5 linked regions of the Oryctolagus cuniculus genome follow. The protein of the gene in region 5 binds, or shares a complex with, the protein of the main gene of each other region. Links are inferred from orthologs where the notes say so. Each region holds a gene or a part of one and is shown on either strand. Other genes may lie near its edges.

The links.
Region 1: STRN (region 5) and STRIP1 share a complex: the UniProt entries of both Homo sapiens proteins name them as parts of the core of STRIPAK complex. The link is inferred for Oryctolagus cuniculus from reciprocal best matches to the Homo sapiens genes STRN and STRIP1.
Region 2: STRN (region 5) and STRIP2 share a complex: the UniProt entries of both Homo sapiens proteins name them as parts of the core of STRIPAK complex. The link is inferred for Oryctolagus cuniculus from reciprocal best matches to the Homo sapiens genes STRN and STRIP2.
Region 3: STRN (region 5) and STK24 share a complex: the UniProt entries of both Homo sapiens proteins name them as parts of the core of STRIPAK complex. The link is inferred for Oryctolagus cuniculus from reciprocal best matches to the Homo sapiens genes STRN and STK24.
Region 4: STRN (region 5) and STK25 share a complex: the UniProt entries of both Homo sapiens proteins name them as parts of the core of STRIPAK complex. The link is inferred for Oryctolagus cuniculus from reciprocal best matches to the Homo sapiens genes STRN and STK25.

What each region holds. Positions count from the first base shown.
Region 1 is NC_091438.1:60,285,315-60,290,630, forward strand, and holds part of STRIP1 (striatin-interacting protein 1), read right to left. Parts: intron 4,501-5,316; coding exon 4,431-4,500; intron 3,257-4,430; coding exon 3,182-3,256; intron 2,793-3,181; coding exon 2,658-2,792; intron 2,557-2,657; coding exon 2,436-2,556; intron 1,282-2,435; coding exon 1,213-1,281; intron 261-1,212; coding exon 154-260; intron 46-153; coding exon 1-45. UniProt on the Homo sapiens protein: Plays a role in the regulation of cell morphology and cytoskeletal organization. Required in the cortical actin filament dynamics and cell shape. Part of the striatin-interacting phosphatase and kinase (STRIPAK) complexes.
Region 2 is NC_091434.1:165,646,719-165,652,034, forward strand, and holds part of STRIP2 (striatin-interacting protein 2), read left to right. Parts: intron 1-2,344; coding exon 2,345-2,419; intron 2,420-3,382; coding exon 3,383-3,517; intron 3,518-4,765; coding exon 4,766-4,886; intron 4,887-5,316. UniProt on the Homo sapiens protein: Plays a role in the regulation of cell morphology and cytoskeletal organization. Required in the control of cell shape. Calmodulin-binding scaffolding protein which is the center of the striatin-interacting phosphatase and kinase (STRIPAK) complexes.
Region 3 is NC_091440.1:13,995,485-14,001,598, reverse strand, and holds the start of STK24 (serine/threonine-protein kinase 24), read right to left. Parts: upstream 3,649-6,114; 5' UTR 3,559-3,648; coding exon 3,250-3,558; intron 2,589-3,249; exon of another isoform or gene 2,077-2,588; coding exon of another isoform or gene 2,035-2,076; intron 1-2,034. UniProt on the Homo sapiens protein: Serine/threonine-protein kinase that acts on both serine and threonine residues and promotes apoptosis in response to stress stimuli and caspase activation.
Region 4 is NC_091434.1:278,305-284,087, reverse strand, and holds the start of STK25 (serine/threonine-protein kinase 25), read right to left. Parts: upstream 3,706-5,783; 5' UTR 3,547-3,705; exon of another isoform or gene 3,485-3,546; intron 3,366-3,484; 5' UTR 3,309-3,365; coding exon 3,279-3,308; intron 1-3,278. UniProt on the Homo sapiens protein: Oxidant stress-activated serine/threonine kinase that may play a role in the response to environmental stress.
Region 5 is NC_091433.1:165,858,088-165,864,130, forward strand, and holds the start of STRN (striatin), read left to right. Parts: upstream 1-1,959; coding exon 1,960-2,193; intron 2,194-6,043. UniProt on the Homo sapiens protein: Calmodulin-binding scaffolding protein which is the center of the striatin-interacting phosphatase and kinase (STRIPAK) complexes.

The sequences.
Region 1 (5,316 bases), on a different chromosome or scaffold from region 5:
CAAACAGCATGATGGCAAATGGCTCATTGTTGTACAGTGGGGAGCCTAGGGGTGACAAAAAGGGATCAGGACGACCGCAGCAGCTCCAAACCTTCCCAAAGCTTCCCAGACTCAGCTCCAGACCGGGCCCGAAGGAGACCCCGAGGGTCCTACCCAGCTCGGCTCTGAAGGTCTGTCGCACGGCCCTCCACTCAGCCTTGTCGCCCTCGCACTCCTGGTGCACGGTCTCCACGATCAGGTACATGATGTTGAGCAGGACCCTGGGGACGAGAGCCAGTTCATAAAGGAGTAGGCTGGGGAATCTAGGGAGCAGCCCTGGCTTCCTTCATCCCAGCTCACGTGGGATAATACAGGGAACACCGAGAACAGAAAGGGGAGAGCTGAGAGGCCCCCGGAGCAAAGGCAGGCTTCACTCTCCCCTCCCGGTGTTTCCGTCACCGTTTCCCGCTGTGCTGGCTGGGGGACCAGAGCTTACTCTGTTTTCTCTCTCCAGCGCCTAACAATGTGCTCACTCAAAGCAGGTGCCTATTCAAAGGCTGCTCAACGAGTGACTTTGAACAAGAATGGCCAAAAGCACTGACTGCCACAGGCTTCCCGGCAAGAGAAAACAAACCCAGAAACGGGAGTGAGCTCTGAGGGTCAACACAGGACAGTCCCGGGGAGAGCAAGGACAGCGTTTACCGTGACAGGGCGGGAAGCGCGAAGAGAACTCTAACTACATCAGGGACACCACAAGCGCCCCGCCCGGACAACCTCCACATTCACAGAGCCAGGCTCCAACCCTCAAGGACGGCAACGCGATCTGCTGTCCGGCAGCCGCTACCAGTCCCTTGCATCCATGACCCATTACGAAGCTGGCAGGCTCAGTCAGGTAGATGGGGCTCCAGCTGGGCCGGCCGCAAAGTGGGGGGCCAAGGCGCAACATGCAACACGCAAATACAAAACACCCACCAGCAAGTCCTCCGCAGCAGGCCCACACTTCTCTGAGGCTCCAAGAAGCGCCTCGACCCTGGCTTTCCTTTGGGAGTCTCAACCCAGAGCCCCACCGAGGTAGGGTCCTCAGCAAGGCCCACTCATCAATCACACTGAGCCCATCCGACCTGAGACACCTGCAGGTCTGCATGTGCAGAAGGGACGCATACTCAACGAGGAAACCAAAGGCACCGCCCAGAGCCGGCCCTGCCAGGAGAGCCCAGGCCCGCCCTTGCTCACCTCAGGTCTGTGCTGTCCGCCAGGGAGATGGCGGGCTTCCTCACGGCACTGCTGCACGCGGCGCTGTTGCTGCAAAGGAGACTCGAGAGTCAGCACTTGGCCCAGCCAGGCGGAGTGATGCCCTCAACAAGTCCCACCCAGTGGGGGACCACAGGGCTGTGACATGTGCTAAGGCGGCACAAGAGGCCACGCGGCACAGTGGGGCCGGTGCTGTGGCATAGCAGGTTAAGCCACCGCCTTCACTGCCGGTATCCCACATGGGCGCCGGTTCATGTCCGGGCTGCTTTGGTTCTGATCCAGCCCCCTGATAATGCGCCTGGGAAAGCAGTGGAAAATGGCCCAGGTGTTCAGGCCCCTCCCCCCATGTGGGACACCTGAGGAAGTTTCTGGCTCCTGGCTTTGGCCTGGCCCAGCCCTGGCCATTGCAGCCATCTGGGGTGTGACCTAGTGGATAGATCTTTGTCTCTCCCTCTCTTTCTCTGTAACTTTGCCTTTCAAATAAATAAATACATCTTAAAACAAACAAACAAACAAAAAGCCCACCAGCTCAGGCCTGGACCAGACTGCAAGGTTTGAATCCTGGCTCCAGCACTTACGAGCTATGCAACCTTGGGCAAGGTACTGAACTGCCCTGTGCCTCAGTTTCCTCTAAATTGGGAGTGACACAGGACCCAGGACCCATGTCATTAGCATGAATTAGATCTACAGTCTCCTTCAAACAATGCCTGGGACACAGAGGCACTCGGCGAGTGTGCTTAGCGCTTATCCCTGATGACGCTATCCTCACACGAGCACAGCCAACCTGTCTATCAAACAAGGCGCCGGCGGTGACACCTGCCAGACAAGGCTGAGGTTGAGCCCACCACATGTCACACTGGGTTCTGGCCTCCTGCTGAGGGCAAAACTGCAGAGCAAACAAAATGGAGTCAGCAGGAGCAAAAGAGGGCTCAAATGCAGAGCTTCTTTTGAGGGGCACCAGAGGCCTGGCACGGGCACTGCCTGACTTGAAGGCGCTGCTGGCTTTAGGGAGCTGCAGGCATTAGGGTTGGTCCCTAATGGTGGCAGCTTCCAATTATGAAACCCCAGAGGTGAGAACAGAGCCTGGGGGGAAACCCTCAGCCCAAGTGGCCCGTTTAACCCCTTCAAAGCCAGTGTGTTCTACAGACGGTCCTCCGTCCAGCCCTGCCCTCGCCTCCCTACTCAAGCCCCGCAGAAGTGCTCACTCTATTTCCATGTTCAGAAGCTCCACCAAGGCGTTGAACGTGCCCACCTCCAGCAGCAGAAAGATGTTGTAGCGCATCCAGAACTGCACCTCTGCCTCCGAGCTGCACTCGCCAAAGGTGCCTGCCAACACACGGCAATGCTCGCCAAGCCCACCCCCACGTCTGACTGGGCGACGTCACTGGCAGAGGCGCCAGGGGACCCAGGCGAGGCCCACCCAGTACCTTGGGCAACGTAGAGAATTGCTCGAGCCACCTTGAGTCTCTTCTCCCTGGCAGTGACTTCCAAGCCATCCAAGAGCCTCATGGCATGGGTTCGGTGCTGGTTGGTGTCCAGCTCGGTCCACTTTTTGTCTGTCACTGCAGGGCAAGACACCAGTGATACCTGAGCCTAGAAAAATGCTCACAATGGAAGAGACCCGCTGTTGATCCACCAAATTCAGGATTGCCATAGGGGTGGAAAGACCGGTGACTCTGTGGAAGGGGCAAGGTCCGACTGCTGCTCTATGAATCGGAACTTCCTGACCCAAACACTACAGTCACACAGATTCTTCCCCAGTGCTCACATTCTGAAAAGCCGCCAGCAAAGGCCCACAAGGCGACTCTACGTGCTGCACCCGGCCTGGAACAAGTCGGTCCAACAGGTTTCTCGGGCCATTCCAGGATGACTTAGGTCATCCAGATGACTAAGAGAAACTGGAGCTCTTGCAACGCCGGTGATGAGCCAAGAAATCAGGAAACCACCTCACCATGAGTCCTGAAGTCTTCCTCGAAGCATTTTCTGTTCATCAGGAATTCCGGTCCTTCCGTGTAGCTGTAAAGCTCTGTCAAGAACAGAGTCTCGTCACAGCAGCTCCACACCTGCTTCCCCAGGGGACTCCCAAGTAGCCAGCAAGGTCAGGTGTGTGCTTCCGGGACCAACTCTGCCCCTGCACCCGTCGACTCCTGGCCTATGCTAATCACTCGGGGTGGGGGTGTCTTAGGGCGCTCGGGTATGTAATGCAGAGAATGCTGACTCCCCCTGCAGCTGAAATCCAGGACACCGGAGAAGCATAAATACAGGCACTTCCATCTGATACGCACCGATCCACCATGCCACGCCACGCCACGCCATGCCATGCCAGAGGTGAGCGCCACCTTGAAACTGTCTCCCCAGTGCTACCTGCCAACTGACCCGGGAGTATGGAGGCTGGAGAAGCAGCTCACATTGGACTTAGGTCACACAGGAGTGGCTGTGGCAATGGCAGATCTGCACACATGCAGGCGTGTTTGCTGGTATCTCCCATGACACACTACTGTATGGGAGGCGACTGCTGGGGGACAGTGTATGGCCAAGGAACATTACCATGTCACCCTGGGACTAGGCCCTAGCCAACTGAGCTGAATACAGAGATGTTTCAGAAAAGTAAAGAACAGGGCTGGCGTTGAGGCCTAGCAGGTTAAGCCATTGCCTACAACGCTGGCATCCCATACGAGTGACAGTTTGTGTCTCAGCTGCTCCATTTCTGATCCAGCTCCCTGCTAATGTGCCTGGGAGAGCAGCAGAGGATGGCCCAAGTGCTTGGGCCCCGGCACTCACGTGGGAGACCTGGATGAAGTTCCAGGCTCTTGGCTTTGGCCTGGCCTAGCCCTTGCCATTGTGGCCATTTGGGGAGTGAACCAGCAGATCAAAGACCTCTCTTTTTCTGTCTTTCCCTCTCTCTCTGTAATTTTGCCTTTCAAATAAATTAATACATCTAAAAAAAGGAAGGAAGAGAGAAAAAACAAATGAAAGAGAGAAAGAGAACAAACAAAAGAACGATCGAACCCAGTTTCAAGGTACACAAAACTTAAACAAAATAACATACTATTCACATATATGTATGCATACATATGTGTGTGTGTGTATCACTGATACAACTAAGGAAAAAATGATTCCAAAATGATACACATTGTAAATCTCCGTAAAGACCAATATGGAGAAAACTGCCCCCAGATGACAAAAGGACTGTGCTTTACCCGACAGCTCTGCGGCCCACTTGTCTGTGTCAGCATATTCAAACTCAAGGTCTGGTGACTCGGAGTAGCCCTGTTGACAAAAGGAGACAGCGTTACGCGTACTTTACAAAGCAGGAAACAGAAATGCACCCAGAGCCACCACTGTTCCCAGGAAACCACTGCCTCCCCTTTGCTTGCTGTTCGATCACCATATTTCGTCTCCTGGGCTAGCCCCGCGCTCCTCCCCACCAAGCCGTCTCAGAGCACCTTATCCTGTCCCTCCAGAGCGCCTGTAACTACTGCATGTGGGGTCCAGTTTCCACCTCGCCACGAGACTGCAAGGCCCTTGAAAGCAGGAAGTCAGTCCACGTTGATCAGCAGCGATTTCACAATGCCCAGCACAGTCCTCCACTGCTTTATATTCAAATCCCTCTCAAATGAACGAACACAAAGCTTCCAAGTACGTTGTGCCCTGAAGCCACTATTCCACAAAGTGCTAGGATTCCAGAATCTAGGCAGCTAGTGGGCTATCAACCCAGCATTCAAACTCTTAGTCTCTCGCCCTTGTCTCAAACTGCAGTGAGAACTGACAGAGAAGGCAGCAAACAGATGGGCCCGCCTCCCACACACAGGAGAATGCGACAGACCCTTTTCACTGCTGGGCACAGGTGATTACCCAGAACACACCGTCCTGTAGGCCTCGCGATAGCAGAGTGGTGAAGAGAGCGGTTCCCACCCTCAGTCTTAGGTAACATCTACAACAAGAGCTCTGCCCCTTATTCCGAGACAACACACGACCCCTCTCCCAAGTCACTGAGCTTCGCACTTTCCTTTTTAGAAGATTTACTTTACTTAGTCATTTGAAAGTCAGAGTTACAGAGAGAGAGAGAGAGACAGAGAACGAGAA
Region 2 (5,316 bases), on a different chromosome or scaffold from region 5:
TATCTGATCTGTATCTACATGCTTCAATGTCAATAAATGCTAAAAACCAAGTTGGAGGAAGAAGCAGGCACAAAAGAATTTACACAATGTGATGCTGCTTGGATAAAAGGTTTTTTTTGTTTTGTTTTGTTTTGTTTTAAGATTTTATTTATTTATTTGAGAGGCAGAGAGTTACAGAAAGGCAGAGAGAGAGAGAGAGAGAGAGGTCTTCCCTCCACTGGTTCACTCCCCAGATGGCCACAATGGCTGTATCTGGGCCCATCCGAAGTCAGGAGCCAGGAGCTTCTTCTAGGTCTCCCACGTGGGTACAGAGGCCCAAGGACTTGGACCATCTTCTACTGCTTTCCCAGGCCATCACAAGGAGCTGGATCTGAAGTGGAGCAGCCGGGACTCAAACTGATGCCCTTATGGGATGCTAGCACTACAGGCAGCAGCTTTACCCACTATGCTACAGCGCTGGTCCTGGATAAAAGTTTTCAGAAGTGGATAACAGCAGTGGAAGTTGCCCCAAGTCCTTGGGCCCCTGCACCTGTGTGGGAGACCTAGAAGAAGAAACTCCTGGCTCCTGGCTTCAGATAGGCTCAGCTCCGGCCATTTGAGGAATGAACCAGCAGATGGAAGACCTCTCTTTCTCTCTGTTTCTGTCTCTCTGTAACTCTACCTTTCAAGTAAATAAATACATAAATCTTTTTTTAAATAAAAAAAGTGAAAAACATCATGTGTTGTTTACAGGCATAAACATATGTAGTAAAAATATAAAAATGGGCATATGAGGGATACCCACTGATCTCGTTAGAGCGGTTCCCTCTAGAGAAAGGAAGAAGATAGGCCAGCAAACAAGTATGACAAAAACATTGTTCGGTCTGGGTAGATACACAGGTGTCTTATGTATTCTGTACTTACCCATATCTGAAAATTCACAATCCAAAATTTAAAAGACAAATAAAAAGAACAAAACCAAAGTTCAGTATCCAAGAGCCCTGGCTCACTTTTCTGACTGGGTTTGTGCTATACCTTTTTTTTTTTTTTTTTTTTTTTTTGAGATTTATTTATTTATTTGAAAGGCACAGTTGCAGAGAGACAGCAGCAGAGAGAGACAGAGGTCTTCCATCCACTGGTTCATTCCCCAAATGGCTGCTCCATCAGTTGAAACTGGGCCAATCGTAAGTCAGGAACCAGGAGCCTCCTTTGGGTCTCGGGCTATCTCTGCTTCTTTCCCAAGCGCATTAGAAGGAAGCTAGATCAGAAGTGGAACAGCTGGGATCGAACCAGTGCCCATGTGGGATGCTGACTCTACAGGCGGTGGCCTTACCTGCTATGCCACAGCACCGGCCCCTGTGTTCTCTCTTAAAACATACATGTTCACATTCTCCACTATGACTGAAGTATTTAAGGTTCAGAGAAATTATTTGTTTCTGATCACTCCCAAGATTCTGGAACTCAGAACCCAAAAACCCTGACTTCCAGAAAAGGGTGTTTCTCCACCATGAGACAGCTGGCTGGAACATAAGTGAATTTTTCTTGTTTTGGGATCTGTCTGTGACCTGGTTACATTTATAGGAAAAGTCTTAGGGCACGGGGGGAATAAAGATCTGGATTATTGATTTCAACTCTTAAAAAATCTGCAATATGAGGGTACAGACATAATGCTCTGAGATCTCTCTCTTTCTCTCTGTGTGTGTAGGAAAGGGCATTTTTTGTTTGTTTCTTATCAGCTTTCTGCATTTTGTGTGGAGAGGCTGCTATCGGCCAAGTTAGGCTTTCCGGTGCACAGCAGCCGTATAGCAACCACAGCTGCTCTCTGAGTGGGCAGCCGTGGGCACAAGCCTGAACTTTTATGCCCTTCATGGAAATTCAGCAGGGAGAGAATGAACTGACTCCAACCCTGAAGAGTATCTAGAATGGACTCTTTAGCCTTCACCCTGACTTACTAAATAGCACAAGGATCTTACCACTGAATTTCAGGGGTTGTTTTGCACTCCCGTTCCCTCGAGATAAGATAATCCCAGTCTGCTTTAACAAAGCAGAAGGGGTCGCAGCCCTGAGAAACAGGAGCGATGACATTAAGCCCTCTGTGCCCCACCTCTCCTCCTGGCGCTCCCCGAATGCTGAAGCCTCCCTTCTCCACTGCAAGAGCCAGCTGGCAGGAGGAGGACAGGTTTGATGGTTTAATCACCCAGGGACACAAGTGGCTATTTTTAACTGTTCCAAAAGGGAGGAAGCTGGCTGAGTTGGACACGGGAATGCATTAGAAGCTTCAACTCTTTCATGCTGCCCTCTCCACCCCAGGCCCTTCCTTTTGGGGTCTCCTGAACGTGACTCTGTTCTGTCTTTCTTGCCACAGAATTGTATAGCTACACCGAGAACCTGGAATTCACCACGAACAGGAGGTGCTTTGAAGAAGATTTCAAGACTCAAGGTGATGCGAGACCCTTACTTACAGGGGCTTGATTTTTGCCTCTACAGTGTCCCAATCTGATCTAGTAAAACGCTAAGACAAAGTAGGATCCTTCAGCCACTTAAACCGTTCACCCTTCCCTTCTTGCACACAGGACACAGGAGTCATTGCATCTCAAGTGTAGAGACCAAGGGTAGAAGCAAAAGAAGCCTGATCTGAGCCCCGTTTACCAGGAGAGCAGAGGGCTATTGGGACAGAGCTGGGCCATTCCCCTGCTGCCTGACAGGTCCTGGTGCCAAGCCTAGTTCTTGACTTGAAGGCTCAACCTCTGCCTCCAACTCTGCCCCACACTCAGTCGCAATTTCACATGCCCATGCCCTGTTGCCCTAGCTGGGCAGTGGCAATTCAGTTTTTAATTCAGCAAATGTGTGGTTGGTATCTGCTCTGTATCAGAGAATGCAGAGTGCAGCTTGTACACAGGATTGGTAGCCTGACAGCAGAAAGGAGTTGTGCCCATCACAATGCTAGCCGAGGCCCAGAGGAAAGTGGTAAGCATCCTAGAAAAGTGGAGAAGGTGTCTCGGGAGCAGAGATTTTGCCAGGGACCTGAGTAGGAAAGAGGCAACTTTGCATTAGGCCTGTGAGAATAAGAAAGAGGTCATTTGTATCAGGCCTGCAAGGCTGACTGGGCACTGGACATGTCAGGGGACAGAGGGAACTCCTTGAGGAGAGGCAGAGACAAAGCAGTATAAGCTGTGTGTGGGGCACGGAGGGACTGTTGAAGAAGAGGAAGCTACACAATGGATTCAGGCTGCAGTATTTTGGACCCTTTTCCCATCCCTATTCTTTCTCAGCTACATAAGAACAGCTTTTAGAAAGAAGAATTTGTTGGGGCCTGAGAGCAGAGGCGGGTGTGCTATCAGGAGCCTTTCCAGGAAAGGGTGGCAGGAGCCGGCACTGGATGTGTGTTGTGTTCTGTCCCCAGTGCAAAACAAGGAATGGCTGGAGTTGGAAGAAGATGCCCAAAAGGCTTATGTGATGGGACTTCTGGACCGGCTGGAGGTGGTCAGTAGGGAGCGGCGACTGAAGGTGGCCCGAGCTGTCCTCTACCTGGCTCAGGGTGAGTGAACCACCTTGCTAGCTTGAGAGGGTGGAAGCCGGGGAGGGAAGTGGCATTGTCAGGGCTGGGATGAGGCAGCTAATGCTGTGAAAGCCAACCCCCTGCCTCTGAAGGACTGCTCTCACCGTGCACTAGGATTCACCTGTGCTGACGAGAAGATGAGGAGATGGTGTTGGATGCTGTCCTGGATCCCTTGGGATCTGCCTTTATCTTACCAAGAGGGTCAGGATTTCTCTTAGGGGCCATAATCCTATGTGAGGAGCAGCAAGAGGGTCACTGCGGCTAAAGCTGCCCGAGTACCATCAGCTGAGCGTAGAGACGTCTTTCATCAGCTGTGGCCTGGCCTCTACACTGAGGGCAGGCAGGGGAGTGTCACCGCCTCTCCTCGCACATGGACCCGCTGCGGTGTTTCTCATTGGCACTGTGAAGGTTCAAGCCAACATGGCAGCAGGAGTAGATGCGGTGAGCAGTGTGAAGATGATCAGAATTAAATGAGGCTAATTGGAGAAAGCTGCCAGCAGAGAGCTGCTAGCCAGGCGTAAGAAAGGGAAATGAGATAGCCTCGCTGGGATAGTGAATAAGGCCTGAGATCATAAATGTGAGGATTGCCGGCACAGTCTGCCAGCTGGGAGCTTAAAATTTTGTAAAAGAAGAAAACAGGTGGAAAGGAAAGAAGGTGGACACTGGCTTTGCTCACCCGTGTCTCTTAGATCTGGTGCTCTGGCCAGCTTCCAACTGCCAGTGCCCAGCCCACAGCGAGCAACCGGAAGTACAGGAAGCTAGTTAAGCAGCCCTCATCCAATAACTGACAGGAGTTACTGGACGAATAGTGCGACGACCTCAGTCCTCTCGGATGGGATGACCCGAGTCGTGTGCTTTATACTGTTTCCAGTTTTCCCTAGGATGAACTCCACTGACTGCCTTCTTCCCCTTGCCTCACTTCCCTACTTCTCTATTGATGATTCCTGGGTTCAATTCCCAAATGAACTACTTGCACTTGAATCTTTACCCCAGGATTCGATTCTGGAGGAACCCAGATTTAAGGCTCATTGATGAGCACCTTGGACCTAACCCTGGCGATTGCCTCTCCTCTCCCTGACTCCTTCCAGGAATTTCTCAAGGGCCCGGCCCTTCTCTGTCAGCTTAATTATTGATCTGGGCATTAGACAAAAGTATGGGTAGAAAGAACTGGGGTACTTGGGGTACCTGCCTTCCCCCAACCCCTGTGGCAACTGTCTGGTCCTTTAGGCTCTTTTGGGGAATGTGATTCAGAGGTGGATGTGCTACACTGGTCCAGGTACAACTGCTTCCTGCTCTACCAGATGGGGACCTTCTCGGCCTTCCTGGAGCTACTGCACGTGGAAATCGAGTGAGAAGCATATGGGGAGGGCTGGCCTAGACCGTACCCTTCCTCGCAGGGACCTCATGTCCTGCACGGGTTCCCTCACTGTAAAGAAGCCCTGGGAGAGCTGGATCTACTCATATCTCAGCCCGAAGCTCATTGCCAGCTCCTCCTCCATGCAGCAGCCCATGTGCCCTGATACTCTGCCCTGCCTGCCTGAGGTTGGGCTCCTCCCAGTCTAACCCACTTGTAGCTTCAGTCCCGGGTTCCAAGGGCCCTCTCCTGGGTGGTTCTTTTTCATCCACACACCTTCTCAGCTCAGCCTCACTCTGCAATCCATGAAAAAAACACTTCTGCCTGTCAGCATGACCCAAAAGGGACAGGACCAATTTTTGCCATTGTGCTCAATTCTGTCCCTCATTGGCTTTATATATATATATATATATATATATATATA
Region 3 (6,114 bases), on a different chromosome or scaffold from region 5:
AGACACTGAAAGACAGTCTCTCGCTACAATGCTAATTCATCTGGGTTAAATTTTTTTTTTAAAGCATTCTTGCCCAGGCTATCTGAATTCACTCTGCAGTTCTCCGAGTCCTGCAGCAAACTCCTTATACCCCCTGGTCAGACACAGGACAGACAGGAAGGAGAGGCGGTGTGCTTCTCCTCAGATCAGCCAGGTGTGCCTCATGGAACCACAGCCCCAACTCTAGGGACCCGTCCCAGGGCCTGCAGAGTCTCGAGGGGGCAGGGCAGGGAGGGGGAAGGAACGTTCTCCCCCACCGGCACCCTGGAACTGGCTTCAGCCCGACGCACCAGCAGGCAGTACCGTCTGCAGCCACTCTCACACCTCTGCCGCTCAAACACAGGAAGATGCTCTTCTTCTCTACTGAGAACTTTTACTCATCTTTCATTCTGAGAAAGCAAAATAAAAAGTTCCCTAGTAACACCACCTGGCAAAGGCACCGTACTGGGGAGGCGGCAATGGTTTCAAAACAAAAATTTGCTTTTTTTCCCAAGATTTAAACATTTGGGCCCACTCTAAGGGTGGGGGGGGGGGGGAGTAAGAGACCAAGCAGTGACCAGACACTGAGTTCCCAGCACCAGCCGAGGGGCTTCAGGTACCTTTCCGGATGGCACTGAGACAATCTGTGGTTACAGCCCGTGTAACACAGGGCAACAATCTAAAGGTAAATCGCATTTTTTAACATTACAAGAGGTCTTCTTACTCTACTAGTCAGAAACTCTTTTTCACCCTGTTCACCCTGACCTTGATGCCTTGAACGTTCAAACCAAAGCAGGAGTGTTAGGAAACACCCCCCGCCCCATCAGATTTTTACCTAGTGGTCAGCAGAAACTCACATCGCACGTTAAAGAGCTCTCAATGAGATTCAAAAAACACACTCTGGCACCCGCCCATCCTAAGATAGTTTGTTACTCCTAAAAAAAAAAAATTGCCTGAAATTCTGGCTACCACTGAAGTGGTGACACTGAGCTCCTATTTTGCTAGATTTCAAACCTGAACAATGAAATCAGGCTTTCTTGCTATGGTTTTCGGGGGACAGGGGGATGGTTTCCAATGGAGGAGGAGCAGAGGTCCAGGGGCGATCCTCAGCCCTCCCCTCCATGTCTACAAAATAACAAAAAATCTTTTTTTTTTTTTTTTTTTTTGGCCGATCTCCGGAAGCTCGTGCGTTCTCCCGCCCGGCTGGGCTGTCCGGGAAAAAACAAAACTTCAGGGGCACACTGCACAGCAACGCGAGGCTGGAACCCGCATCGCGCCGCCACCCTTTACCGACGTGCTCACGGACATGACAAGTTGGCTCGCGATGGGGGTTTCACTTTTTTTTTTTCCAAGAGCTAGAAACATAGTCACCTACGGAGGAAAAACTTGGAAGGCGTTCGCGACCATCGAAAATCCAACGCCTCCCCCCACTTCACCCCCCAAAAAAGGGGACCGCTAGGCCAAGCAGCCACAAAGCACCAACAGCCAGGTCCACGGCGCGGAACTCCTCTAAATCCCACCAAGTCGCCAAGTGGAACTCCAGCGCCGGGCCAGGGGCCTGCGCCAGGCCGGGGGCCCGCACCTTCCCGCACCGCGCCCTGTCCGCGCGCCGGCGCCCCTCCCTCCGCCCGCCGCCCGAGGAGCCGAGCCCCGCGCGGGCCCGGGGGGCCTCCACCGCCCCCGCGCCGCCCGGGGCCTCCAAGGGCACGTCTTCCCCTCCCGTCTCCCCCGGCGCGGGGCCGCCGCAGGCCCTGCACTGCTCAGGACTTGGGGGCCAGGCGCCGGTGCCCCACATCCGCACCCAGGCCTCGGTGCACCCCCCACCCCGCGCGCCCCGCCACACATCCACACCCGGCCGCCGCGGCCCGCGAGCAGCCCCGGGAGTAGGGCCCGAACCCCGGCCGACGCGACCCCGGAAGGGAGAGCCTGGGGGGGGGGGGCCCTGTTTACACCGCCAAGTTGCCCGCTTCCGCCCCAGCCCCGCATCCCCAGTCCCTGAGGCCCGCGGCTGCCTACCTGCATGCCGGGCAGGCCCGACTGCACCGGGGAGTGAGCCATGGCGCGCAGGACGTCCACTTCCTGGGACGGGACGGCCGGGCCGCGGCGATCCGCGCGGGCGACCAGGCCCGCGGGCCGCGCCGGATCCCGAGGCCACCCCAGCCCCGGCGGGTCCCGGCAGCCGGCGGAGCTCAGCGACGGGCGCCGGGCCGCGTCTCCATGCACGGCGCCCACACGGGGCGCGGGGGGCCGAGCGCGAGCCGCCGCCGCTGCCGCCGCTGCTTCTCGGCGGGAGCCGGGCGGCCTGGGCCCGCACGTACTCGCCGCCTGGACCCGGAGTGGGCGCGCACCACCGGCGGAGCCCGCGAGCGCCGAGAGCGCCCCGCCCCGGCCCGGCCCCCGCGCCCGCCCCCGCGGCCCGGCCGGGGACCCCGCCCCGCGCTTCCGGGAGGCGGAGGAGGGGAGAGGGAGGAAGAGGAGGAGGCCCGGCGGCCGCCCGGGCGCCCTAGGCCGCAGGCGCCGCGCCGCCGCCTGCCGGCCGGGCCTGCATCCCAGCGGCTCCCGCGCGCGCTCCCACGCCCCCCGGGGGGCGGTGCCGCGCCGCGAGGGCGTCCGCCGGGGCGCGAGCGGGTCGGAGCCCCGCGAGCCGGCTCGGGCGCTGAGGCGATCCCGGGCCGCCCGGCCGCCGCTGCACTGTGCCCGCGCCCCGGGCGGCCTTCCTAGACGGGGGCTGGGCCCGGGGCTGCTCCCGCAGGCCGCGGCGGAGCTTCTGCGGCGTGTGAGGAAGTTTCCGACCGCCCGGAGGCCGGGGCGGCGACTGTATGCCGGGCGTTTGCTGACTGAACGCGGTGCCGGCAGCGCGGCTGCGAGGAGCGAGCGGGGAGGGCCTGCGGGCCGCCCGCCGAGCCGGAGGAAGCGGCGTGCGGACTTTGCCCCGCGCCTCTCCGGGCCGGGAGTGCCCGTTCTGCCCGCTGGCTGTGCGAGGTGAGGCGGCCACAGCGAGCCCCCAGAGGCCGCAGGACGCGGTAAGCAGAGTCCGAGGTGTCGCAGCACCGCACCCCTGCTTGTGCTGGGAGCCCCGGGAGACCTCAGGCCGCCTTCCTGGCTGTCACAGGGACACTGCTCACTTACAGAGAAGCCGGGGCGGTGACTCTGGGGAGGATGTGACAAATACAAGGCAGAAAAGCAGCCGCTTACGAGCTTACCTAAATTCTGTACCGCTAAGAAACGTACCTCGGGAGAAGAGCCAAACCAGAAGGAACGTGCACTCTTCGAGGGCCCGTCGTGTTCAGCCTGGGAATTCCACCCAAAGTGACACAGCCTGAGGAAATGACTAGAACGTATCGAAAGCTGCAGCGAAGTGGCATTTAGAATCCTGGGGAATCTACCGTGGAAAACCCTAACAGATGCAGTAAACAGTGTTTTCGTTACGTACTCACTGAAGAAAACGTAGGAACCAAAACAATGCACAGGCACTTCAGAAAGTTCATGAAAAATGGAATTAAGGGGTATTTGTATGTTGCATAAGGTTTTGAAATCCATGCTGGTTTTTCATAATACACATTGTAAACTTTTTAAAAGGCCCTTTGTGTAGTTTGATTTCAAGCTACTGCATATAAATTAATTTTAGAAACGTGTGTGTGTGTGTGTGTGTATTAGTAGAGAAAAACCTAGAAGTATATGCACCAAAATTTAGCTGTCTGGAATTAAAGATGATTTTTCTGGTCACTAATCAGAGCCAGAGGAGACCATCGTGCTGAGATACAAATGGACAGTAACATCAGAGCACTGATCTGAAGCAATACCATGGGAAATGCTCAGAAATTGTGAGGATGTGAAATGAGGGGTAGAAGACACTGGACCATAATATTCCAGATATAAAAAATAATCAGAATAATATTTGTATACCAGGGCTAGTGAGACTAGGAACATACGGGTTCCCAGTGGATGTGGCTTATCTGGACATGGTCTGAGACTTGCATCCTTTAGCTGATCTATCTCCTGTTCTCTGTTTATCTCAGTTTTTCTTCTTTGACCATTGAGTTCCATTCTCACTGAACAAGAAGAATGCTCATAGAAGTAACAAGTTCTTCTCAGTCCTATGCAGGCATCAACCAGTGTTTACAGAACTGTAGGTCTCTGGCTGCTTTGTCTTCCCAGAACACTGATGATTGACAAGGCCTGAGTCAGGAACAGTTCTGTGCGGTTTTGCATTCGATCATTACACTTTATTTTTTTTTCCAAAAGACACCCTTTATTCATTGAGTACACATTTTATAAGCACAACTTTAGGAATATACTGATTCTTCCCACCATCCCACCCTCCCCCCCCCCCCCGACTCCCATTACACTTTTTTGTGCACTTGTTGCATTCAGACATCAGTTCAGCATAGGGCATCTAAACAGGACTAGATCCCCAGGTGCTTGTGATCCCATCCTGGAAATCTAGTCTCACTATCCTAACTTTGGAAGTTTACAGTACCATAATTGATGGCACGTAGAGTGACAACAGGGTCACTTCCAGGGCCGGCGCTGTAGGAAGCAGTAAAGCTGGTTTGGGTCCCGGCTGCTCCACTTCCAATCTAGGTCTCTGCTATGCTATGGCCTGGGAAAGCAGTAGAGGATGGCCCAAGTCCTTGGGCCCCTGCACCCACGTGGGAGATCCAGAGGAAACTCCTGGCTTTGGATGGGCCCAGCTCCTGCCATTGCAGCCACTTAGGGAGTAAACCAGCAGATGGAAGTCTTCACTTGCTTGCCCTCTCTGCCTCTGCCTCTCTGTAACTCTGCCTTTCAAATAAATAAATAAATCTTTAAAAAAAAAAAATCACTTCTACCAAGGAAAGAAAAGGACCATCCTCTCACACTTTTCCTCTCATCACTCTCCCTCCACCCCTAATAAATAATTACAACAGATCATTTACTACTGTAATTCCAAAAAGAATTTGAGGGTCTCCATAGAGATTATATGTTCTCTTGTCTCCATGGAGATACTAACCTATTGTTTTCATCCCCTGGCCCTCTTTGTCTTTTGTGTTCACTTACAGGACATGAGTTGGGTAAAGAGTTGTGCTCTGACATGTATTCTGGACCACAAAAGACATTTCCATGTCCCTACATGGAGCCCCTCCAACCAGAGAGCCCCTGTGGATTGACTTCCCCTAAGCCAGTTGCTAGTCTCAGCTGAGCTCAAAGCTTGCAGCAGAAAACAAGACTTCAACAATCAATCCCTTCACTTCTCTGGCTCTGAGTTGAAAAGATAAACACCCCCAAATGCCACTTGATAAAGAACAGCTAGACAAGTAGCACATTTGCAATTTAAATTTGCAGATTAAAGAAAGGGACTTGCATGGTGAACTTTAAAAGGAGAAATATGAGTAGCTCAGATAAGTAACAGAAGGCTTGAAGAATTTCTACACATGTTCAATAGGTGAAGACAAATTATTAACATCAGCATAAAGAAGTACATCAAGAATCATCGGATGACATGACAGCAAGAAAATACAGTTTAAAGGCCTAGGGGGATTTCCCAGCACATTGAGAAATGGTGACAACAGGGTTTTGTTCTGTGAGTGCAGAGCTCAGAGGACAGGCTCTCTTGGAGACCTCACTCTCAGTCAGCCTTTGGTTGTACCTTGCTTGCTAGGGCAGCTGTAACAAAGACCCACCAACTGGGTGTCTTACACCACAAATGTGTACCTCCTCACATTGGCAGAGGCTGGAAGTCAGGTCACAGTGTCAGCAAGGGCTGATTTCTTCTGAGGCCTCCCTCCTTGCAAGTGGCTGCTGCTCATCTGGTCTGTCTGTGGTTATCTGTGCCCTAAACCCCTCTGCATACAAGGAGACCAATAATAATGGGTTGGGGCCTACTCTGGTTGTTCTTCCTGAACTTGACTGCTTTGGAGTCATGTGTAGTCACATTTGGAGGCACTGGGGTTTAGGACTTCCTCATGAATTTGAGAGAGGGACACAGGTTAGCTCTTTTTTCTTTTTTTTCTTTTCTTTTTTTTTTTTTTTTTTTTTTTGACAGGCAGAGTGGACAGTGAGAGAGAGAGACAGAGAGAAAGGTCTTCTTTTTGCCGTTGGTTCACCCTCCAATGG
Region 4 (5,783 bases), on a different chromosome or scaffold from region 5:
TTTACCTTTTTTGTTCAGAAAACTACAATTCCCTCTCCTTGTAAGGCAGCAGCTCCTCAGGGAAAGACACAGAGCACCTGGGACCATGTCCACAGCTGTGCAAGATACCAGCAGGTCAGCACCCCCAGGAGGCAGGCAGGGATGCAGGGACTCTATCACCCCAAAACCATTCCTACAAAATGCCACCTAAGGCCTGGCTCTGTGGTGCAGCGGGTTAAGCCATCGCCTGTGACGCCAGCATCCCCTATGAACACGGGTTCCCGTCCTGACTACTCCAATTCCGATCTAGCTCCCTGCCAACGTGCCTGGAAAAGCAGCGGAAGATGACCCAAGTGCTTGGGCCTCTGCCACCCCGAAAGAGATCTGGATGGAGCTCCACCTCCTGGCTTCAGCCTAGCCCAGCCCCAGGCATGGCAGCCATCTGGGGAGTGAACCAGAGGACGGAAGACCCCCGTTTCTCCCCCTCTCTCTGTAACCCTGCCTTTCAAATAAACTCATAGATCTAAAAACATATTCATACAATCTATTAAGAACAACAGAACCCAACCTGTGGTGATGAGACCCTACATCACAGCCACAGCCCCTGGAGGACTTCCCCACCCCGGAACCAGGGTCACACCAGCAGAGTCCAGCACTGGCCTTTCTCAGAAGCCTGAGTCCAGGTACTCCAACTCCACAGACGCTGACCACATGGTCCTCGGGTTTAAGCAGGCAAGACGTCAGGGTCACCAGGCTCTGGTGGGGGAGGCGCCAGGTCTGCAGCCCAGGTCGCAGAGGCTGGCAGAGGGGTCCTCGGCATAAACCACCCTCTTAAGTTTGAGCCTGGGCCACCCCAGGAGCATCATCACAGCACCTCCCACGGCCAGGGTCACTCTGGGTGTCCCCCAGCCACTGCCCAGAGACCCTGGGCTCCTGAGAACACCATGCTCCAGCCACCAAGCGCTGACCAACCTCAGAAACACGGCCGGCCGAGGGTGAAGGGCAGCCCCCATACCCCAGGATCCTAGTGGCTTGCTGCCCCACAGGGGAACCTGTAGAGGTGGGAGTGGGGTTAAGGCCCTGAGTGTCATCAAGACAGAATTTTCCTTTTTTTTTTTTAAGATTTATTTTTATTTATTTGAAAGGCAGAGTTAGAGAGAGACAGAGATCTGCAGCTTCACTCCCCAAATGCCCACAACGGCCAGTGCTGGGCCAGGCCAAACCCGGAAGCCAGGAGCATCTTCCGGTCTCCAAGCCCTTGCGCCATCCTCCACTGCTTTCCCAGGCCATAGCAGGGAGCTGGATACGAAGTGGAGCAGCCAGGACTCCAACTGGCACCCACGTGGGATGCCAGCACTGCGGGCGGCGGCCCCAAGGCAAGCCCAGCCGAGTCTCCGCACCAGGAGGGGCACCACCCCCATGACAGTGTCTCAGTGCCCACTTCTCACCAAGTCCAGAAAACATGGCCAGCTCCCAGGTGAGGGCAGCCAGGGCTGGGCGGGCTCAGCGCCTCCTCCCCGGAGCAGAGCACCAGTCATGGGTGCTGGGCCCGCAGGGTGCTGCTCTAGGCTCACGCCACGTTTCAGCTGAGCCTGAGCACCCTCTCCAGGGTTTGTAACCACAGGGCAGGAGGGGCGATCACCCAGGCCCAGGCCTACGAGACCGCCTCACAGTGTCCCTGACCCCGGCTGGGAGCCAGGCTCTGGGGAGACAGGAACTTGAGGACAGCGGAGCTGAGCCCCGGGCGGCGCAGACACAGCAGCGGGGCTGCAAGGACAGGGCAGCGCCGGCCACTTAATCCACCCGAACCAGGCCTGGGGTGACAGCCAGAGCAGCTGCCCCAGGCAGGCCAGCTGCAGACCACACACACCCTAACCCAGTTAACCGGCTTGGACACATAAGGCAAAGTGGCCAGAACTGGCAGACGGGTCCCAAGGCCTGTGGCCATGGATGAGCCCAGGGGATGCTCAGGGCCAGCCTGCTGCCAGGAGACCCCAAAGCCAAGGCTGAGGATCAGCAAGGACAAAGTCCGGTCCTGCCCAGGCTGCACGGGCCAGGCGAGCTGCGTTTACCCCAGCCTCTCCTCTCCTGCTGACCAGGTTCTAGAAACAGAAGCCAGGAAACTCACGGTGTGTGACACGTCACACCTGCTCCACTGCCCTCAGGGTGCTGCGGGCGAGAGCCCACGAGAGCCCAGCCCGCCGGAGCAGGTGCCCAAGTCCTGGACACAGCAGCCCTCAGACCACTGACGGGCAGGCGGCCACTCTCCTGTCGCAGAGAGCTCATCACCTACCTCCAGGGCTTTGGGGAGACGCGTTCCCCCAGGCTGCCTGGCACAGCCCCATCCTGGTGGCTCAGCGGCTCTGGCTCAGGCCCTGAGCTGGCGTCCTCCTGTCACTCTACAGTCCACCGCCTTCGAGGCTGGCCCGAGACAGACCTAGAGGCCCAGCAGCATCTCTGGGTACCACCTCACTCCGCTGACAGCCTGGCCAACGCAGCGCCCGACACAGCCCCTGAGCCAGGGCTGAGCAGGCAAGGTGCAAGTCCCTGCCCCCAGGCCCCTCCTGGTGTGCCCACCGCCACGGCAGCCAGCCTGAGCAGCAAGAGCGTGACAAGGACCTGCCACTGCAGCCCAGGGACAGCCCACGCCCAACCGCCCTGGGAAGAGGAACACAGGGGTCCTCTTCGGGAGGGGCTGCGGGGTAGGCCACGCAGCCTGGGCCCTCTGCCCCAACGTGTCTGCTGCTCACGCCGCACAACAGAGGCCCGAAGCCCCCCGACACCCCAGCTGCGGCCTGAGCTCGCACCTCCGCACCGTTCCTGCCCACGGGGCCCGGGGGCCACACCAGCCTGGTCAGCCCTGCGGGATGGCAAAGGGGCCCCGAAAAGGCCAAACGACGCCTCCCACCTCGGGGTCCCCTCTCCGCGCCCCCGCCAGCCCTGCTCCTGCGCTTCTAACAGGTGAGCAGGTTTTTCTCTCGACATCCTCGCCACGTAACCTGCAGGCCCAAACGTCAAAGACGAAGCAGGGACCCCGGCCGCCGCCTTCCCCCGACCGGCTCCCGTCGCGGGCGGACGCGCTTCCTGTCCACGCCTCGCCACGGTCCGGCCGGCGCTCGCCCCGCGCCGCGCCCTGGGCGAAGCGTTGGCACCTGCGGGTGCGGGAAAGCGCGAAGCAGGCGCGACGGGCGGCCGCACGGTCACCTCCGCAGCCGCGACAGCGGAGGGCGGGGAGCGCGGCGGGGACACCCGGGAGGCGGAACGACCCCCGACCGCGCCGCCGTGCCGCCCCTCCTCACCTGGCTGGCAAATCCCCTCAGGTGCGCCATGGTCCGCGCCGCGCTCCGCCCGGCCGTCGGCGACCCCGGCGCGCTCGCGTCAGTCCCCTGTGGGGACGGCGGCAGTCAGGGCCCCGGGAGCGCCGCCCGGCCCCGGCCCCGGCCCCGGCCCCCGCCCCGCCCGGCCCCAACCGCCCGGGCGCGGCCCCGCCCGGCAGCGCGCCCACCTCCGGGGGGCTCCATCCCGGCCTCCCCCGGCCCGCGCCGCAGCGCCCGCGAAGGCTCCCACCCGCAGCCTCCGTCCGCCCGGGAACGCCCGGGCTGGCCCGCGTAGCGGCGGCGGCGGCGGCGGTAGCCGAGAAACCCCAGGGGCAGCGGAGGCGGCGGCGACGAGGGCGGCGAGGTCGTCGTGGCCGGCGCGCGGCTCCCTGGGACTCCGAGTCCCGCTGTCCACCCCGCGCCCTGGACCCGCGGGCGCCGGACTACAAGTCCCGGCAGGCCGCGCGACGGGCGGCATCGAGGCGCCGGCGCTGGACTGCAAGTCCCGGCAGGCCTTGCATCGAGCGGCGTCGAGGCGCTGGTGCGCCGCGGGGCCCGCCGGGACTGCGAGTCCCGCTCGGAGGGCCTCGGGCTGCTTCTCCGGCCAGGCGCCCCCGCACGGCGTGCCTAGGGCGGGCAGGCGGACGCGCGTGCGATCGCCGTGAGGCCGCTACTCTGCTGGTCCCGGTCAGCGTGCGGCGCTGGAGGCTGGGCGCTGCGTTCCGCCACTCTGCTCGTGAGCGGGCCGTTCCGGCCCTAGGGCCCTGCAGGGAGCCCACTGCGAGCCCTCCGCTCCCGGCCGGCCCCTCTGGGCGCCCGGCCCTGCCCTCTGCGCAGCCCTTCGCGGGGTCCTGACTTGACGCGGTCCGCGGCGGGCACTGGGAGGTGGCGTGAGGGGCCGTGTGGCCTGTGTCGTCACCCCTGCTCGTTTAGCAGCACCTGGGGGGACCTTGCGGGCCGGGGTCCTGCCCCGGCCGCCGTCCGGCGGGGTCACGCAGTGGGCTTGAACTTGGCCGCATCTGTGCTTGTTCTCAGCTCACTGCCTCGGCCGGCTTCTGGTATGTTCCATCGTGTCTGGTGAGAAACTGGACCGGCGAGGACGTGAAGCGGCTGAGAGTGCTCTGCCAGGGACGTCTCCGCCCGGTTTGGGTCAGGGTCTCAGGTCCAAGCCAAAGAAATCTTAACGGAGCGGATCCCAGAGTTGAAAGATTGCAGCTCTGAGCTCTTCGTAAGGGGACCGCAAGGAACGGTGGGCGAGGCAGACCGTCCGAGATGCGGTCACAGTCAGCGCTTCTCACCGCGGAGCAGGGCCGGAACGCGGGAAAAGCCCAACAGCCAGGAGCACCCATCAGGGTGAGAGAGAGAGAGAGAGAGAGAGAGAGAGAGAGAGAGGTCTTCCTTCTGCTGGTTCACTCCCCAGTTGGCTACAACGGCCGGAGCTGCGCTGATCCGGAGCCAGGAGCTTTCTCCAGGCCTCCCAGGACTTGGGCCATCTTCCACTGCCTTCCCAGGCCACAGCAGAGAGCTGGATTGGAAGAGGAGCAGCCGGGACTTGAGCCGGCGCCCACATGGGATGCTGGTACTGCAAGCGGCAGCTCTACCCACTATGCCACAGCACTGGCCACTAGACTTTATTTATTTAAGGGACAGAAAGCTCCCATCCACTAGTTCATTGCCCAGATACCCGCAACCGCCAGGACTGGGCCAGGCTCAAGGTGGCTGGAAGCCGAGAACTCTGGGCTGCCCATGTGGGTGTCAGGGCCCAACTACATGGCCATCACCTGCTACCTTCCAAGGCCTCCATTTGCAAGAAGCTAGAGTGGGAAGCAGTCGGGAATTGAATCCAAGCACTGGACAGAGGATGTGGTTGTCTGCACCACTAGGACAAATGCCTACCCCTGGTGTGTTTTGTTCTAATATTTATTTGCAAGGCAGAGGGAGAAGGAGAGACAGAGAGAGGTCTTCCATCCGCTGGTTCACTTCTCAAATGGCAGCAACAGCCAGAGCTGGGCCAGGCTGAAGGCAGGAGCCAGGAGCTTCACTGGGGTCTCCCACATGGGTGGCAGGAACGCAAGTACTCGATCCGCCATCTGCTGCTCCTGGCTGCATTGGAAGGAAGATGGATTGGAAGTGCAGGCGGGAGGCGTCCAGGCAATGGCTTCATCGCTGCGCCAATTGCATGTCCACTTTTAGATTTTCCTTTGTAAGATTTGTTTGTTTATTTGAAAGGCAGAACTGGGGCCGGCCTGTGGTGTAGCTGGCAAAGCTGCCACCTGCAGTGCCGGCATCCCATACGGGTGTCGGTTCAAGTCCCAGCTGCTCCACTTCCGATCCAGCTCTCTGCTGTGGCCTGGGAAAGCAGGAAGATGCCCAGGTCCTCGGGCCCCTGCACCCGCGTGGAGACCCGGAGGAAGCGCCTGGCTCCTGGCTTTGGATCGGCGCAGCTCTGGCTGTTGCCGCCAAGTGGGGAGTGAAGCAGCAAATGGA
Region 5 (6,043 bases):
TTGTTTTATAGTCTGCTAATGAATTAAAGGAATTGTCAGACAAGTGTTCTATCAGAAAAAAAACTGCTGTTAACATTCAGACTTCTAAGATTACATAAATCCCTCAGATGAAAAAAGATGTCATTGGGGCATTATTGTCTTGTTGGTACTCTGGTGGGTTTAGAACTAAGAAATCAACCTGCTCATGAAGATTTCACTGAACTAACTGCCAGGAAATCTGAGTGCCAGTTTTGGCTCTTCCTCTCACTCAAGGACTCATTGTGAAGTTTAAATTTCTTTGGACTTTAGTTTTTGAACCATAAATGAGATGATTGGACTATAATCTCAAAGGATACTTGCAGCCAAAATAATTTATGACAGGGAATTTAGCCATGTCTGCATCAACCTTTATGATAATAAAGAATGAATTCAGAGAGCGGAAACGTTCAGTAGCTAGAAGTGAGCTTGCCATCTTTATTTGCAACCAGAGCAGATACAATGTGTTTCCTGTCCTTTCTAGGAGTGGCCATGGAAGGGGGGAGGGGAGAGAGGACAAGGACAGGATGTCCTTCCCTAACATGTCACTCAGCAGTCTACATCTTTACATTTTTTTCACGGCCACGAGGCCTGATATAGCCTGTAAGTTTATTCCACACAACAGAAGGATTACAAATAACTTGTTCGGGTAACAATATTAAGTGTCTCGTTTCCTTTTCCCTTGTTATGGATTGTTTCCAAGCGCCTTCCTTTCTTCCATGTTATAATGTGAGTTTAAAGTGACATAAAATCAGGGACATCAGAGAAGGAAAACATTTACAGATGTCACTCCAAAGGGAAGGACATGGGTGTGCCTTTGGTAGGATGATCCTGTTGCCAGTTAGCAGGTGAAACGTAGTAAAAAAAAAAAAAAACAAAACCCACCCTGACAACCGGATAAGTGAACATGAAGAGGTGCGTGGGTAAGACAGCTCTGGAGAGAGGGAGGGAAAAAAACCAAAAAACTTGTTCTTTTAGGTAGTGTAGCTTTAAGGCTCGGTGAGACTTGATTAAATATATGCCAGTCTCCCTTAGATGACAGGAACTGTGTCATCTATCTTTATATCCCCAGTGCGGGAGAGAACCGACAATCGAAATCCCTCTTCCATCGAACTGAGTTAAAAACTTATCCTTACTGGGGATAAGATAGGAAGTCACTGGCAACAACTTTTTACAGGATTGACGGCGGCGGAGCAGCTTCTCAGAGGTGGAAAACGCAGCCGAGAGCTGCCGCGCGCAGAGCCCAGGGAGCGGGGAAGGGGATCAGAGCCCGTCACTTGGGAAAACTCAGGCAACAGGTCTGCAGCCCTCCAGTGAAAAAGCCAGGGGCGGCGGCGACGCGCACCCCCGCAGGTCTGGCGGGTCCGAAACCGCCAAGTCCGAGTCCAGGGCACCGGACCCGCGGCCGACCGGCTTCTTCAAAGACGGCCAGGAAGCCCTCAAGATGTACGGCCCGGGTCTGTCTCCTGGCGTGATAACAACTTCCGCGTGTGTGTGTGTGTGTGTGTGTGTGCGCGCGCGCGCGCGCGCCGCGGGGAGCGCCGCTCGAAGACGAGGACGACTTCCGCGTGCCAGCACGAACGGAGCGTCGCCGGCCCGCGCCAGGTCGCCAGCGCCAGAGGAAACCCGCGCTTCCGCGGGCCGGGGGCGGGGCCGCCGCCACGCCCGAGCCGAGGCGAAGCCCCACAGGCCGCCGGGACCGCGCGCGCGCCCGCGCCCCGCCCCGGGACTACATTTCCCAGCAAGCCCCGGGCCGCCCGCGCGCCGCAGTTGACCCATTTCCCGGCCCGTCACGGGCTCGGCCGGCCCCCGCGCCCAGGCGGCTGCTCCCTGCTGACTGGGGTGTGGGCGGGGAGCGGCGGAGGGAGGAGGAGGCACTGCTGGCCGCCACCGTTGCCTCCGCTGCTGGGCGCCTGGGCAGCTCCCCGGGTTTCTGCGGCCGCCATGGACGAGCAGGCGGGTCCCGGCGTCTTTTTCGGCAACAACCACCCGGGCGCCGGCGGTGCCAAGGGGCTCGGGCCTCTGGCAGAGGCTGCCGCGGCCGGCGACGGGGCGGCTGCGGCGGGGGCGGCTCGAGCCCAGTACAGCCTCCCGGGGATCCTGCACTTCCTGCAGCACGAGTGGGCCCGCTTCGAGGTGGAGAGAGCCCAGTGGGAGGTGGAGCGGGCGGAGCTGCAGGTAAAGACCCTCCCGGCCTGGCCCTCTTCATCCCGCCTCTTCGCTCCCTTCCGCCCCGCCCCGGACCGTCGCCCCCTCCCCCAGTCCTCTCCCGTCCCTTCCCCCTTTGCTCCCGCCCATCCCACCCGGAGCCTCGTCCCCTCGCTCCCTTCACCTTTGCCTGTCGCTGTCCCCACTTCTTTCCCCGCGGTTCTCCCGCTCCTGATGTGTTGTTTACCCTCCCCGCTCCTTCTCGTCGGCTGCTTCCCACTCTTAACTCCCAGTCTCGTTTCAACTCTCTTGCCGCCCCGCACCTGAGGGCTTCCCGTGCAGTGTCCTGAAGGAGCTGACAGTAGTTTTGGGAGACGCTGAGCAAGTCATCGTCTGGGCTAGTGTGTCCCATCCGAGGTCTCTGCAAAAGGGACTGGCCGTTGGCGCCTCTCTCTGCAAGGAAGGCGACAGAAGTTGTGTCAGTGAGGCCTTGACTTTGGGCTAGAAGCTGACTTTGGGCAAAAGTGTTGTTAGAAATATCAGCCGCCTTGTCTACACGTGTATGTTTCTTCTCCCCCTGCCCCCCGCCCCCCGGCCCCGTATTGCAGATTCCTGGATTTTGAATGAGGGACTGAGATGATCAGCGAGCTGATGGTCCAGAGATGGTTCTTGTTGGAAAGCTGCAACTTCTCGAGGGTTTATTTCATGTTTAGTATTTTGTGAGATTGGGTTGTAGTTTGGAAGGAACTGAAGGGGCTTCACTGATAGGAACATTGCCTTGCATAATCTGCGAGATAAAGTAGGAGTCTATCCAGGGAGGAGCTATTGTGGGCTCTCGGGAGAATGAAAGCGAGGCTGATACTTTACAGGGCATGCTGAGTTGTAAGTAGGTTTTCAGTGGCTGTTCTTAAAACTTGCAAGGCAGCCGCCAGTTTCAGGAGGAATTGGGAAGACCATGAGGGGTTGTGTCTGTCTCTTACAAGATGATCCTGTACCCTTAGGAGATTTGAGTATGGTCTTGGTTTTTGAAACACTTGAAGGTAGAATGCTGTCCATTGTGTCACTTTTTTTTTTTTTTTTTTGGTAACATGTATTTCTTTGGTCCTGAAAAAGAAAAAGGAGGGGAGAAATCTGTCCAACACCATCGTGTGCTGGGATAGGCTACTTCGCTGGAGTGGCACTGGCTGTGCAAAGAGCCAACAGGGTTCCATTGGGTTGGGTTCTAGTGAGGGCTGTGTTTGCTGCCAGTTCTGTGACCTTGGGGAAATCTTTTAACCTCTCTGGGCTTCAGTTTCACCCCTTGTTTATTCAACACGTGTTAATTGAGAACCAGCTATATGTCTGGAGGCTCTGAGATGAACGAAACTCAGGAAGCTTCTGCCCTCACGGAGTTTCTGTTTAGTTGGAAGGCAACTGATCAGCAAATGAAACCATATAATATAATGGCCTATTGTGGGAACTGCTGAGAGGAGAAATCCATCAGGGTACAAGAATAGAGTGGTGGAGAATGCTGCTTTAGGTCGGCGCTTTAGGTGAGGCCTCTGGGAGGTGAGAGATGAGTGGTTGAATGAAGTCAGGAATGACACATAGTTTCTGTAATTCCTTGTCAGTCTATATGTCTATGGTTATGTGTTTATATGTTTTGGCTGTGTTTTCATCCCTACTGGCATGTTGCTTTAAAAGCTGGTCTGTTGGTATTTGTAAGTTTTCTCATGGTTATGGCCATGTCTCTGTGGTACCCAACACATTCGAATGTTTATGCATTTACCTTTTTCGCTGTGTATTCTATAAATGAGCTTGTGGATTTCAGGCTTCAAAGAAGTATTAAAGACTAGGTGTGACTTTCTTTAAAACAAACATTTTTCATTTTTTTTTTTTGAGAGACACAGAGACAAATCTTCCATCTGCTGGTTCACTCTCCAAGTGCCTACAATAGCCAGGGCTGGACCAGACTGAAGCCAGTATCCCAGAACTCAATCCCAGTCTTCAGCATGAGTGGCAGGCACCCAAGTACTTGAGCCAAGTACTCACAAGGTGTGTATTAGCAGGAAGTTGAATTTGAAGCAGGGGAAATGGTGTCCCAAGTAGTGACTTAACTGCATTGTGCTGCACGCCCACCCCAAAGTTAAGATTTATCTATTTATTTGAAAGTCAGAGTTACAGAGAGAAGGGGAAAGACAGAAAAAGTGATCTTCCATCCGTTGGTTCACTCCTCAGATACCTGCTGCACCCAGGGCTGGGCCAGGCCAAAGCCAAGAGCTTCATCTGGGTCTCCCATGTGGGTGGCAGGGGCCCAAACATTTGGGCCATCTTTTGCTACTTCTCCCAGTCTATTTGCAAGGAGCTGGATTGGAAGTGGAGCAACCGGGACAAGAATCAGCGCCCATATGGGATGCTGATGTCATAGGTGGTGTCTTTACCTGTCACGCCATAAAGGTGACCCCTAAAGTTTGACTTTTAATGTTACCCAGTTGTAGGAAATTATTTTTGTATGTAGATCCTTAGATTTCAGTTCCTTTTCCAATGTAGGGAATGTAAGTTACACTAATTTGAACAAAAACAAAGGAGAGAACAATGCTAACCTTCCTCTCTGTAGAAGTTTGGGGTCTTCTAACCCACCTTGTCTTCTGCTCACTCACTCCATTCATATTTAAGCTTTTCACTTTATCTGTAACTGTAGTCAGTCTTCAGTTTTTTGCCCACACATGTTACATTTAATGTAAGTTTCTCATTGGTGCACTACTTTATTTGCTTATTTATTTGAGCTAGAGATTCCTCACCACCTGGCTCATTTCTCAGATGCCTGAGGGCTGGGTGAGGGCTGAAACCTGGAATCAGGAACTCCTGTGTGGGTGTTAGGAACCCAGTACTTGAGTCTTTACTATTGCCTTCTAGGGTCTGCATGAGCAGGAAGCTGAGACCAAGAGCTGGAGCCAGGAATTGAACCCAGGCCCTCTGATGTGAGACATGTTTATCTTAACTGGCATTTTAACTGCTAGGCTAAATGCCATCCCTTGAACACTACCTTTTTTTTTTTTTTTTTTTTTTTTTTTTTACAGGCAGAGTGGACAGTGAGAGAGAGACAGAGAGAAAGGTCTTCCTTTGCTGTTGGTTCACCCTCCAATGGCGCACCGCGCTGATCCGTAGCCAGGAGCCAGGTACTTCTCCTGGTCTCCCATGGGGTGCAGGGCCCAAGTACTTGGGCCATCCTCCACTGCACTCCCTGGCCACAGCAGAGAGCTGGCCTGGAAGAGGGGCAACCAGGACAGAATCCGGCGCCCCGACCGGGACTAGAACCTGGTGTGCCGGCGCCGCAAGGTGGAGGATTAGCCTATTGAGCCGCGGCGCCGGCCCCCTGAACACTACTTTTTTAAAATAGTATCTTTCGATTTGTTCTCAAATTAGGCTTACCCAGAGAAGTTTAAAAAATGAGTTGTATATTATCTGAATAGAGTAAGTGTTATGTATTTTGGGGAAACAGGTTTTATGATAATCTGTGATCTTTGTCCCCCTTAGTGTAATTGAAAAAAATTATTCATTTCTTTAACATTGGATTGTTAAATTTGAACGTTTCTCTTCATGTCCTTGAAAACAGTAGGAAGTAAGAGTTGAGTAAATTGTGGTGAAATATGGATCAGTTGATGCTCTTTTTAATTTTTATATCTCTACTCAAGTCATTAAAACCAAAGTCAACAAAATGCCTTCAAGATTAAGTCTAACTCGTCCCTTCAGGAACCTGTCAATCCTGCTCCTTCCTAGTTGCCAGTCAGAGTTGTGAAAGGCAGTTCCAGCTCTCACAGTAGTCTGCCTTGGCCACTTTCCTCCTCCTTCAGATCTTGGGGCAAGGAAACAGCCACATTGTACCAAAAACTTCCTTGTC